Sus scrofa: one gene and its partners. The protein of the gene in region 1 purifies or fractionates together with the protein of each later gene. This does not show direct contact. Links are inferred from orthologs where the notes say so. Each region holds a gene or a part of one and is shown on either strand. Other genes may lie near its edges. The genes, in order: TRIM47, PPM1A and FBP1.

Evidence for each region.
Region 2: the proteins of TRIM47 (region 1) and PPM1A purify together in Homo sapiens (affinity purification with western blotting; 3 studies listed by BioGRID, with this or other methods). This does not show direct contact. The link is inferred for Sus scrofa from reciprocal best matches to the Homo sapiens genes TRIM47 and PPM1A.
Region 3: the proteins of TRIM47 (region 1) and FBP1 purify together in Homo sapiens (affinity purification with western blotting; 3 studies listed by BioGRID). This does not show direct contact. The link is inferred for Sus scrofa from reciprocal best matches to the Homo sapiens genes TRIM47 and FBP1.

The regions. Positions count from the first base shown.
Region 1 is NC_010454.4:5,533,928-5,538,063, forward strand, and holds the start of TRIM47 (tripartite motif-containing protein 47), read left to right. Parts: upstream 1-1,331; 5' UTR 1,332-1,409; coding exon 1,410-2,108; intron 2,109-3,112; coding exon 3,113-3,208; intron 3,209-3,490; coding exon 3,491-3,721; intron 3,722-3,898; coding exon 3,899-4,097; intron 4,098-4,136. UniProt on the Homo sapiens protein: E3 ubiquitin-protein ligase that mediates the ubiquitination and proteasomal degradation of CYLD.
Region 2 is NC_010443.5:189,277,125-189,280,770, forward strand, and holds part of PPM1A (protein phosphatase 1A), read left to right. Parts: intron 1-2,051; exon of another isoform or gene 2,052-2,070; intron 2,071-2,632; coding exon 2,633-3,486; intron 3,487-3,646. UniProt on the Homo sapiens protein: Enzyme with a broad specificity. Negatively regulates TGF-beta signaling through dephosphorylating SMAD2 and SMAD3, resulting in their dissociation from SMAD4, nuclear export of the SMADs and termination of the TGF-beta-mediated signaling.
Region 3 is NC_010452.4:27,602,028-27,605,673, forward strand, and holds part of FBP1 (fructose-1,6-bisphosphatase 1), read left to right. Parts: intron 1-2,320; coding exon 2,321-2,483; intron 2,484-3,646. UniProt on the Homo sapiens protein: Catalyzes the hydrolysis of fructose 1,6-bisphosphate to fructose 6-phosphate in the presence of divalent cations, acting as a rate-limiting enzyme in gluconeogenesis. Plays a role in regulating glucose sensing and insulin secretion of pancreatic beta-cells.

The DNA of each region.
Region 1 (4,136 bases):
GGCTTGGATCAGAGCTGCAGCTGGATCCTGTGCCACAGCCACAGCAATGCTGGATCCCAGCCACATCTGTGACCTACCCTGCAGCTCATGGCAATGCCTGATCCTTAACCCACGGAGCCAGGCCAGGGATTGAATCTGAATCCTCATGGATACTAGTTGGGTTCTTAACCCACTGAGCTGCAACAGGTACTCCAGACGTTTCTTGTTGTTTGGTTTTTGATGAACTTGACAGTTTCCAGGGGTTCTGGTCAAGGGCTGTGTAGTCTGTCTCTCCACTGGGATTTGTCTGAGGTTTTACTAGTAATTAGAGTGGGGTTATGGGTTTGGGGGAGGAAGCTCATATCACATCCAGGGTGCCTACTGCGGACATGACTGATGACTGTCGGTGTTGACCGCGACCACTGGCTGAGGTCGTCTTGGCCAGGTTTTGCCGCTGTCAAGTCACCCTTCTGCTCTCTTTGGAAGGAAGTCACTATGCACAGCCCGCACTTAAGGACTGGGAAGCCCTGCTCCACCTTGGAGTATTTACAGAATCTGTTTGGAATTCCTCTGAATGGGAAATTTGTCTACTCTCCCTCATTTATTTATCCAGTGATTTATTTATTATCAGCAGGAACTCATGAGTGTTTGTTTTCTACTTTGGGTTGCAACCCAGCGCTACTTTAGTTATTCTGTTGCCACTCTGTTGGGTTTAGCTTAACATCGTTGAGGTAATTTAAATACAATAAACCCCACTGGTTTAAGTGCATGGTTGGAGGAGCCTCAGCAAAGCCTCCAACTGGGGAACCCACACCCCTAGCCCAGGCCACACCACGGGAGGGACCGGAACTGAATGATGAGACTAGGGACGTGGAGGATGACCCCAGCTTCCCATTTCAGCTGTGGAGGAGCGCAAGTTCCCCGCCTGAGGTAAACAGAGTCTCTAAGGGGCAAAAACATGCGCACGTCAGCAGTTCTTTTTTTTCCTCTGCCGTCAGCAGCTCAGCAACTTTGCTAACAGTGCTGCCCAGGGGTCTGGAGCGCAAGGGGCAGGCGCGACACGGGGCGGGGGGCGGAGGTCGCCCAGCGCCTTAGGAGCCCCTGGCAGGCACGGGGTGGGGGAGTTTGGGGGGTCGTGGAGGGGTGAACTCCTTCCCTGCTTTCAGTGTGTCCCGTCCCCGTCCCGCCCTCTTCCCTCTCCCTCTTTGGTCCAGGAGGCCCTCGGGGGTCAGACGAGGCCCAGAGGCCGTCCCGCGCGGCCTGGGCTGGGGCGGGTGCCCGGGCGGGCAGGCGGGCCCGCGGCGCCGGGGGCGGGCCGAGCGGGGGGCGGGCCCCTTGGCTGCGGTCCAGGGGGCGGGGCGGCGGCGCGGACGGTCTGGGTCCCTCCCAGGCGGGAGCGGCCCAGGCGGTGCCCCAGCGGCCGCGGAGCCATGGACGGCGGCTGGCCCTTCAGCTGCCCCATCTGCTTGGAGCCGCTCCGGGAGCCAGTGACGCTGCCCTGCGGCCACAACTTCTGTCTCGCCTGCCTGAGCGCGCTCTGGCCGCACCGCGGCGCGGGGGGCGCCGGGGGGCCGGGAGGCACGGCCCGCTGCCCGCTGTGCCAGGAGCCTTTCCCCGACGGCCTGCAGCTCCGCAAGAACCACACGCTGTCCGAGCTGCTGCAGCTCCGTCAGGGCTCGGGCCCGGGGCCCGGCCCAGGCCCGGCGCCGACCCCGGCCGCAGCCCTGGCGCCCGAGCCGGCGGCGCCCAGCGCGCCGCCCAGCTCGCCGCCCAGCGCTCCGGAGCCATCGGCGCCCAGCGCGCCCGAGCCGTGGCCGGAGGGCGAAGAGCCGGTGCGCTGCGACGCGTGCCCCGAGGGCGCCGCCCTGCCCGCCGCGCTCTCCTGCCTCTCCTGCCTCGCCTCCTTCTGTCCCGCACATCTGGGCCCGCACGAGCGCAGCCCCGCGCTGCGCGGACATCGCCTGGTGCCGCCGCTGCGCCGGCTGGAGGAGAGCCTGTGCCCGCGCCACCTGCGGCCGCTGGAGCGCTACTGCCGCGCGGACCGCGTGTGCCTTTGCGAGACCTGCGCCGCCCAGGAGCACCGAGGCCACGAGCTTGTGCCGCTGGAGCAGGAGCGCGCGCTCCAGGAGGTGGGATGCGGTTGCAGCGGGCGGGCGGGCGGCCGGGACGGGTGACCCGCCTCGAGAGCCGAGGCCCCATCACCCCCATCCTTCCCAGGCTGGGTCTTAATTTCCTCCTTTGCCGTCCCTTCCAGCCTGGACAGTCATCTGATCGCTGTGGGACATTTCGCTCAGGATGAGAATGGGGGGGGGGGTTGGAGGAACCCAGTGTGAACCCAAAAAGGACGGGAAAAGCAGGCTGGGGTCCCGAGGCTGGGGCGCGGCCGGGGGCGGGGGGGGTGTTTAAAGCAGCAGAGAGCTCGTGCCCATGCCGGTCCCAGCTCAGATTTGCTGCGGTGAGGGTTTCAGTGGGTGGGGCAGGCGACAGGAGGGCTGCAGAGGTGGGGCCGAACCCACCGGCACACAGACCCCTCTGTCCAGCTGACCTGGCGGCCCGCAGTGAGAGCATGTGGGCGCTGTCCAGCTCGTTACCTCCGCCCCCAGTTTCCTTTGGCCCTCAGCCGGGTCTTGGCACTTCTGGCCTTGGGATTTTCCGTCTCTCCTGCCTGGAGCAGTGACTCATAAGACCCAGGGGGTTTGCCCGGAATCCCCATTTTTCAGGCCTGGACTGGGGACACAAACTCTTTGAGAACAGGGATTCTCAGAACAGCTGAATGCCAGCTTGTGCAGCCACCTGTCCTCTCTCAGTCTCTGCCTCGTCCCCACCTAGGGAAGCTCCCAAATGAATGTGAGCGATATTGAGGAGCATGGATGGCCCTGTACTTGCTCACAAGTCAGAGAGGAGAGGCAGACACCCCACAGCCAGCCTGCCTGCCCTCCCCTTTGGGAATGGCACCTGCCTGGGCTTGAGGCACCCCCTGGCGTACTGTACAACATCGCGGCCACTCCCAGCTCCACCTAGGCACAGATACCACTCCTGGGTCCCCCACCACCACCCTTGGTAAGACCTGGGACCCCAGTGCAGGGCTGTGACCTCGGCCAGACCCTGTGCTCCTTAAGGATGTCACCTGCAGGCTGAGCAGCCCAAAGTCCTGAGCGCCGTGGAGGACCGCATGGATGAGCTGGGCGCCGGCATTGCACAGTCCCGGCGCACCGTGGCCCTCATCAAGGTCAGATCCTGTCCTAACCCCTGTCCCGGCCACTCTCGTAGCCAGCTCCCGCCCGGCAGTGTGCGCTTGCGGTACACCGACCACACCAAAGACGCCCGCGCTCCCGGCCTTGCCCGGCCCCAGTGAGCGCGAGCATCTCCCAGACCTGGCATAAACCCAGGATGGCTCGGGCTGGTGCCTTCGTCCCCCCAAGAGGACAGGGTGGGAAGGAGGGGTCTGGGAGGAATGGCCAAGACAGCAGGGTTCTTTGCCCTCATTGCTGCCCTCTGTCGTCTTGTGCAGAGCGCAGCCGTGGCAGAGCGAGAAAGGGTGAGCCGGCTGTTTGCCGAGGCCGCGGCCGTCCTGCAGAGGTTCCAGACAGAGGTGCTGGGCTTCATCGACGAGGGGGAGGCCACCATGCTGGGCCATTCCCAGGGCGACCTGCGGCGCCAGGAGGACCAGCGCAGCCGTCTCAGCCAGGCCCGCCACAACCTCAGTCAGGTCCCCGAGGCCGACTCGGTCAGCTTCCTGCAGGTGAGGGCAGCTCTGTGAGCCAAAGAGGGCCCAGAAGGGGTTGGGCAGAAGCGGAGGGAGGAGAAGGCAGTGGATGCCTGGTCCCCCAGGCCGTGCCAGCCTCCTGGCAGAGCTGTCTCACCCCCACCGGGAGGAGCTGTAGCCAGCAGAGCCTTAATGGGCATTTGTCTGGTACAGGAGCTCCTGGCACTCAGGCTGGCCTTGGAGGAGGGGTGCGGCCCTGGGCCCGCTCCCCCGAGGGAGCTCAGCTTCACCAAGTCGTCCCAGGCCGTCCGGAAGGTGCGAGATGTGCTGGCTTCGGCCTGCACCAGCCAGTGGGAGCAGCTGCAGGGGCTGGGCAGTGACGAGGACGGGCTGCAGAAGCCAGGCACGGAAGGTGGGTGCCCCCGCAAGTGACTCACCCCTCCCCAGACTC
Region 2 (3,646 bases), on another chromosome or scaffold:
GAAACCTGAAGATATGGAGGGCTAACTGTAATACCTCCAACCACTGCTTTAGCCTAGCTAAAGGAGTTGAGGTACAGAGATGAGGCAACTTGCCATTGACCTTCAGCAGATGACTTAACCTCACCATGGCTTAATCATCTTCTGTCCACTATCTATCTAGGCATTCCATTTAATCTTTACCACAGATACACAGATGCCTAGGTTCCACACCTACTGTGGAAATTGATTTTTTTAATTTTCATTTTTCAAAAGGCCCATAGATAATTCTTTTGTATAGCCATAATTGAGACCATTGCCTTAATATAAATGGTATGTTACAGTCAGGCAGCCTTAAATTAGAGTCCTTATTCTCCTAAACTTACCTTTTGAGTGATGTTGGCCATGTTCTTTTGTCTTATTAAAGTTCATCTATAAATTGCAGATAGTATTATTACCCACTTTAGAGTGTTGTTGAGAGTGAATTGAGGTAATGCTTGTATAAAAACACTCATCAGAATGATTTAGAATTCATCCTAAACATTGTCTGCTATTAAGGTATCATTAGTTTTTTTGTTTGTTTTTTTAAATGACTGCACCTAAGGCATATGGAAGTTCCCAGGAGGGTTGAATCTTAGCTGCAGCTGAGGCCTATGCCAGCTGCAGCTGAGGCCTATGCCAGAGCAACAGCAACACTGGATCTGAGTCATATCTGTGACCTACACTGCAGCTTGTGGCAACATTGGATCCTTAACCCACTGAGTGAGGTCAGTGATTGAACCCACATCTTCATGAACACTAATATTGGGTTCTTAACCTCCTATGCCACAGGAACTCAAAACACAGACCCTTGCCATATTGTGAATCAACTTGATGTCAGAAAAGTGATCTGATGAATACCACTACAAGGAATGAAGCATGGCCAGTTTTCATTATTTACCCTCTAGTAGTGGAATTATCATAGGAGGCAGACAAGTAGGCGAGAGATCCGTTTTATCACACCACAGCCAGCCAGACTTCTCTGCTGGATAATAGTTTGGTCCTGGTAGGATAAAGAAGGGGTGAGGGGTTGCTAGGAAACTGTTTCCTTTCTGAGTTTTTTTTCTTCTTCCTCTTTCTCTCCCAGCTTCTTCTCAGAGCTTAGCATCACTAGTGTCATCAGTCTCCTAGTGTCTTAAGTGCATCCTGATTTACTTAGGTACTTTTCCCCACTCCTACTTATCTCCCCTTTACCTCCATTAAATCTCATTCTATCCTTCTTTCAGATTGCGTTAAGTTGTGACTCATGTGATGACTTGGCCCTCAAGTCTACATTACTAGGCTTACTCAAGTAAAGACCAACCTAAATCCTGACCATCTTCCTGCCTTGTGTAAGCTCATTCCAGACCAGAGGTTTTTGCTTTTTTTTTTTTTTTTTGTCTTTTTAGAGATGTACACACAGCATGAGGTTTCCAGGCTAGGGGTCTAATCAGAGCAGTAGCTGCCAGCCTACACCACAGTTACAGCAAAGCAGGATCCAAGCCATGTCTGCAACCTACACCACAGCTCATTGCAACGCCAGATTCTTAACCCAATGAGTGAGGACAGGGATTGAATCCATGTTCTCATGGATGCTAGTTGGGTTCGTTAACTGCTGAGCCATGACAGAAACTCTGGGTTTTTGCTTTTGATTATTGGTAAAGGATTAGATTAGCTGAGCTTTCAAGCTTGTCCATAGTGTTGTGCTAGACCTTTTGATCTTCTTATCAAAACTTTTTATATCTAATGGTTATGGAGTAGCATAATAATGATACATGTTATTACAACTAGATTAGGTTACAGTAGATTAATTGTTTAACATTTCCATATAACAGTCTTCATTACATGTATATATAATTGCTTTGCAATGTGAAAGTTGAGGTTGGACCACTTAAGCAATATAATAACTTACTGGCTTTCTCAAAGGCTGAAAAACCTATGGAAAAGGTAGAATTGAAGCTAGACTTTAAAGGATAGGTGTACTTATTTTTCTAAGTAGGGAAGGAAGGCAAGGGATTCCAGTTAAGGGAACTGACATGAGCAAAGCCTTGAAGGATCATGCAAATTTTGATTGTTGTGAGTATATTGTTTTTTACTTTTTCAGAGGGTTCATATAAGTAGGAATAAAACTAGACATTTGGAATCAAACTTTGAGAAATCTTGAATGTTAAACTAAGATGTCTAAATTAGTAGGCTTTTGATATGTCCTGTGAATTCATTTGGCTTTTCTTGGCTAATATACACATACAAATTAGTTTTGAGATTCTCTTAAGAGATTCACATTTTCATTGCATCCTTAACCACTTGACTTGGTTCATAAGTTGACGGCCATTGCCAAGTCTTTTCTATCTTAAATGGTTGTTCTCTGGGGAAAGTGTAAGATAAACTACTTTTATCAAGATACTTTACCTGTTAAGACATTTTGAGCTATGCCTGTTGAGCCTCTCCCCCATTTCTTTCTTGTTAATGATCAGGTTTCAGTTCTACAGTATAATGAGTGTCTGCTTATTCCAAGAGTTGTGAATTCTTATTTAAAGCTTTCTTTTTTTTTTTTTTATTTCCTTCATTCTTAAAAGGGTTGTGTATGTATTTTGTTTATAAGATAGTTATTAACTTTCCTGTTTCTCTTCCTTTGCAGACCTAGAGGATCAAGACATAATGGGAGCATTTTTAGACAAACCAAAGATGGAAAAACATAACGCCCAAGGCCAGGGTAATGGGTTGCGATATGGGCTAAGCAGCATGCAAGGCTGGCGAGTTGAAATGGAGGATGCACATACAGCTGTGATTGGTTTGCCAAGTGGACTTGAAACATGGTCATTCTTTGCTGTATATGATGGGCATGCTGGTTCTCAGGTTGCCAAATACTGCTGTGAGCATTTGTTAGATCACATCACCAATAACCAGGATTTTAAAGGGTCTGCAGGAGCACCTTCTGTGGAAAATGTGAAGAATGGAATCAGAACAGGTTTTCTGGAAATTGATGAACACATGAGAGTCATGTCAGAGAAGAAACATGGTGCTGATAGAAGTGGGTCAACAGCTGTAGGTGTCTTAATATCTCCTCAGCATACTTATTTCATTAACTGTGGAGACTCGAGAGGTTTACTTTGTAGGAACAGGAAAGTTCACTTCTTCACACAAGATCACAAACCAAGTAATCCGCTGGAAAAAGAACGAATTCAGAATGCAGGTGGTTCTGTGATGATTCAGCGTGTGAATGGCTCTTTGGCTGTGTCAAGGGCCCTTGGGGACTTTGATTACAAATGTGTCCATGGAAAAGGTCCTACCGAGCAGCTTGTTTCACCAGAGCCTGAAGTCCATGATATTGAAAGATCTGAAGAAGATGATCAGTTCATTATTCTTGCATGTGATGGTATTTGGGATGTTATGGGAAATGAAGAGCTCTGTGATTTTGTAAGATCCAGACTTGAAGTCACTGATGACCTTGAGAAAGTTTGCAATGAAGTAGTCGACACCTGTTTGTATAAGGTAGCTAGACTTTTTTTTTTTTTTTAAGGCAAAATGATTTTATGTCATCTTAATTATTATCCTAGTATATTAACATCTTAGAACCAATACTTCTCAGGAATAAGTTTTTGGTACTATTCATCCGTTATGAAAATAATATAGTAATACTTCTTAGAAATAA
Region 3 (3,646 bases), on another chromosome or scaffold:
AGAAAGGGCTTTGGGAGGAGGGCTGTTTTCCAGGTGGGCAAGGGAACGGTGCCGAAAGAGGTGATGCTGGAAAATGGGCTGGATGATAAATTGATTTACCTCTTAGAGAGAGCCAGGCCAGATGGGTTAGGACTGTTTCTGCTGTTGGTTCAGTTGTGTCCAGCCAGAGACACGCAAGTTACGTCTGGAGAAAATGCATCTTCAGGAGTGGAAGCCGTGAATGTCATGGCAATCCATTCCCGGGCCAGTGCTCCCAGCCATCTCAGCCCAGGGTGCCACGGTGCCCCTGATCACCCACTCTGAGCTGTTTGGCAGTATCTTCAATGCTTTGACTCTTTCCCTTCCCACATCCGGTGTCTAATCTTGTTCCAAGCACCTTCCTCTAAGACATCTCCTCTCTCTTTTTTTTTTTCTCCTTTTTAGCACCTATGGCATAGGGAGGTTCCCAGGCTAAGGGTCTAATCAGAGCTATAGCTGCCGGCCTACACCACAGCCACAGCAACGCCAGATCCGAGCCTTGTCTGTGACCTACACCACAGCTCATGGAAATGCTGGATCCTTAACCCACTGAGTGAGGCCAGGGATTGAACCCACAACCTCATGGTTCCTAGTCAGATTCATTTCTGCTGCACCATGATGGGAACTCCTCTCCTCTCCTTTCAGTGTTCCTATTCAACTGCAGGCTATGATAACCCTCCTCTTGCCTCATTCTAACAAACTTGGACTTGAGATTCTGGGAACTCGCCATTACTGACTTGCAGGTACCTTGAAAATAAAGACTCCAGGCTTCGGCACTCCCTCTGACCCCTGGGACTCCCACCAGAGGCTGCGAGGTGCCACCAAGAGAAGCCTGGCCTGGAAGCCAAAGTGAGCTTGTCACAGCTTCTCTAGTTTAGAGAAGTCTGCTGGTGGCTGGGAGTGAGGTCCCACCTCTATAAAACGAGGTGGTAGGATCTGTCAATAATTCTTTTTCTTTTAGGATCTTCTCAGTTATAAAACCATAGATCCCTTGGCTTAGTCCCCATCTCCTAGCCAGGTTCCCTTGCTTGCTGTGTCTTTCATTATGCATTAACTCACAGGGAAAAAATTGGTTTTTGTATGTATGTACCTTCTTTTTTTTTGGTCTTTTGCCTTTTCTAGGGCTGCTCCCGTGGCATATGGAGGTTCCCAGGCTAGGGGTCTAATCAGAGCTATAGCCGCCGGCCTACGCCAGAGCCATAGCAACGCCAGATCCAAGCCGCGTCTGCAACCTACACCACAACTCACAGCAACGCCGGATCCTTAACCCACTGAGCAAGGCCAGGGATCGAACCCGCAACCTCATGGTTCCTAGTCGGATTTGTTAACCACTGAGCCATGACGGGAACTCCTATATGTACCTTTTAAGACATAGGCACATACAGTGCATAAATAGACATATACTCTACATGCAGTATTAAAATTAGAATTCTCATTATGGCTCAGTGGGTTATGAACCTGACTAGTATCCATGAGGATGCAGGTTTGCTCCCTGGCCTCACTCGGTGGGTTAAGGATCTGGCGTTGCCATGAGCTGGGGTGTGGGTCGCAGATACAGCTTGGATCCTGCATTTCTGTGGCTGTGGTGTAAGGCGGCAGCTACAGCTCTGATTTGACCCCCAGCCTGGGAACCTCCATATGCCACAGATGTGGCCCTAAAAAGCAAAAAGAAAAAATTTTAATTAAGTTAAAATTTTGTGGAGGAGTGTGTGAGAAAAGAAAAGTCTAAAAAAGTCTTTGGAGAAGTTCCCCTCGTGGCGCAGTGGTTAACGAATCCGACTAGGAACCATGAGGTTGTGGGTTCGTTCCCTGGCCTTGCTCAGTGGGTTAAGGATCCGGCGTTGCTGTGAGTTGTGGTGTAGGTTGCAGACACGGCTTGGATCCTGCGTTGCTGTGGCTCTGGCGTAGGCCGGCGGCTACAGCTCCGATTCGACCCCTAGCCTGGGAACCTCCATATGCCACGGGAGCATCCCAAGAAAATGGCAAAAAGACAAAAATAAAAATAAAAATAAATAAGTCTCCTTCGGGACCATAATGGAAAAAAAAAGATTGAGAAACTTGGATTTAACCACAAAGGTGTTCTGGGTACCATGACAGGTACTGGACAGTGAATGGCAATACTTCCTGAAGGAGCCAATCCAGAGGGATTCTTCTATTTCGTTCTTCTCATTCTATTTCTCTCAAACCACGTGTCTTCTCTCCTTTCTTCTAAATCCCAATAAATGGGGTTTACTGGGTTTCTAGGTACATCTACCTATTCTGGTGGTCATGGCTGATAATTTTTTGCTTTTCATCCTCCTAGCTATGGAATTGCTGGCTCCACAAACGTGACAGGTGATCAAGTGAAGAAGTTGGATGTCCTCTCCAATGACCTGGTTATTAACGTGTTAAAGTCATCTTTTGCCACCTGCGTTCTCGTGTCAGAAGAAGATAAAAACGCCATAATAGTAGAACCTGAGAAAAGGGTGGGTCTGCTTCTCTGTTACTAAGGGGTTGAATGGAGCAGGTTTTTTTCCTTCCTCGCTCTGCTTACTCAGCCAAGCTGGATTCCTAGGAATCCTGCCTGAACCATTAATCCTCATTTCACAGACAGCCTGCCCTCTTGTCCATGCTACGACCACAGTCCATGTCGTTACCAGCTCTCCTGTGCACTCATACATGGGAGACACTCAAAGATTCTGACTCATCTCCACTCCTTTTTATTGTCATATTCAAAGCACTTCAAAGTCTGGCTTCCATTAACTACCTCTTTTGCGTCACCTCCATCCATCCATCCAATGCCCAACCTTCACAACCAACTCTCCTGCCAATCTAAACTGTTCGCTGGAGTTCCCATCGTAGCTCAGTGGTAACAAGCCCAATGAATATCCATGAGGATGCAGTTTCGATCCCTGGCCTCACCCAGTGGGTTAAGGACCCAGCATTGCCTTGAGCTGTGGTGTAGGTCGCAGATGTGGCTCGGATCCTGCATTGCTGTGGCTGTGGCGTAGGCTAGGCTAGCAGCTACAGCTCCAATTCAACCCCTAGCCTGGGAACCTGCATATACCACGGGTATGGCCCTAAAAAGATAAATAAATAAATAAACAAATAAACTGCTCGCAGTTCCCACCACTGATTCATGCATTGGAACCGATTAATCTGATTGCTTCTTGAGGGCAGAGAATGAATTATATTCTTCTTTGTATCTCAGCATCTAGCACAATACTTGGAGCGCCGTGGTGACTCAACAGCAAATGATTATTGAAAAAGTGAATGAAAGAGTATATCTAGATTTTACACAATGACAACAATGATATAATAATAAAAAAACTTTTTTTTTCCTTGTCTTTTTAGGGCAGCACCCACGGCATATGGAGGTTCCCATGCTAGGGGTCGAATCGGAGCTGCTGCCACTGGCCTACGCCAGAGCCACAGCAACGCCAGATCCGAGCCGCATCTGAGACCTACAACACAGCTCATGGCAATGCCAGGTCCTTAACCCACTGAGTGAGGCCAGGGATCGAACCCACAACCTCATGGTTCCTAGTCAGATTCATTTCCGCTGCTCCATGACGGGAACTCCAATAAGAAAACTTTTGAGATGAGCCATGCAGTTCTATGGGCTTACACTCTTTCTCTGGTTGAGATG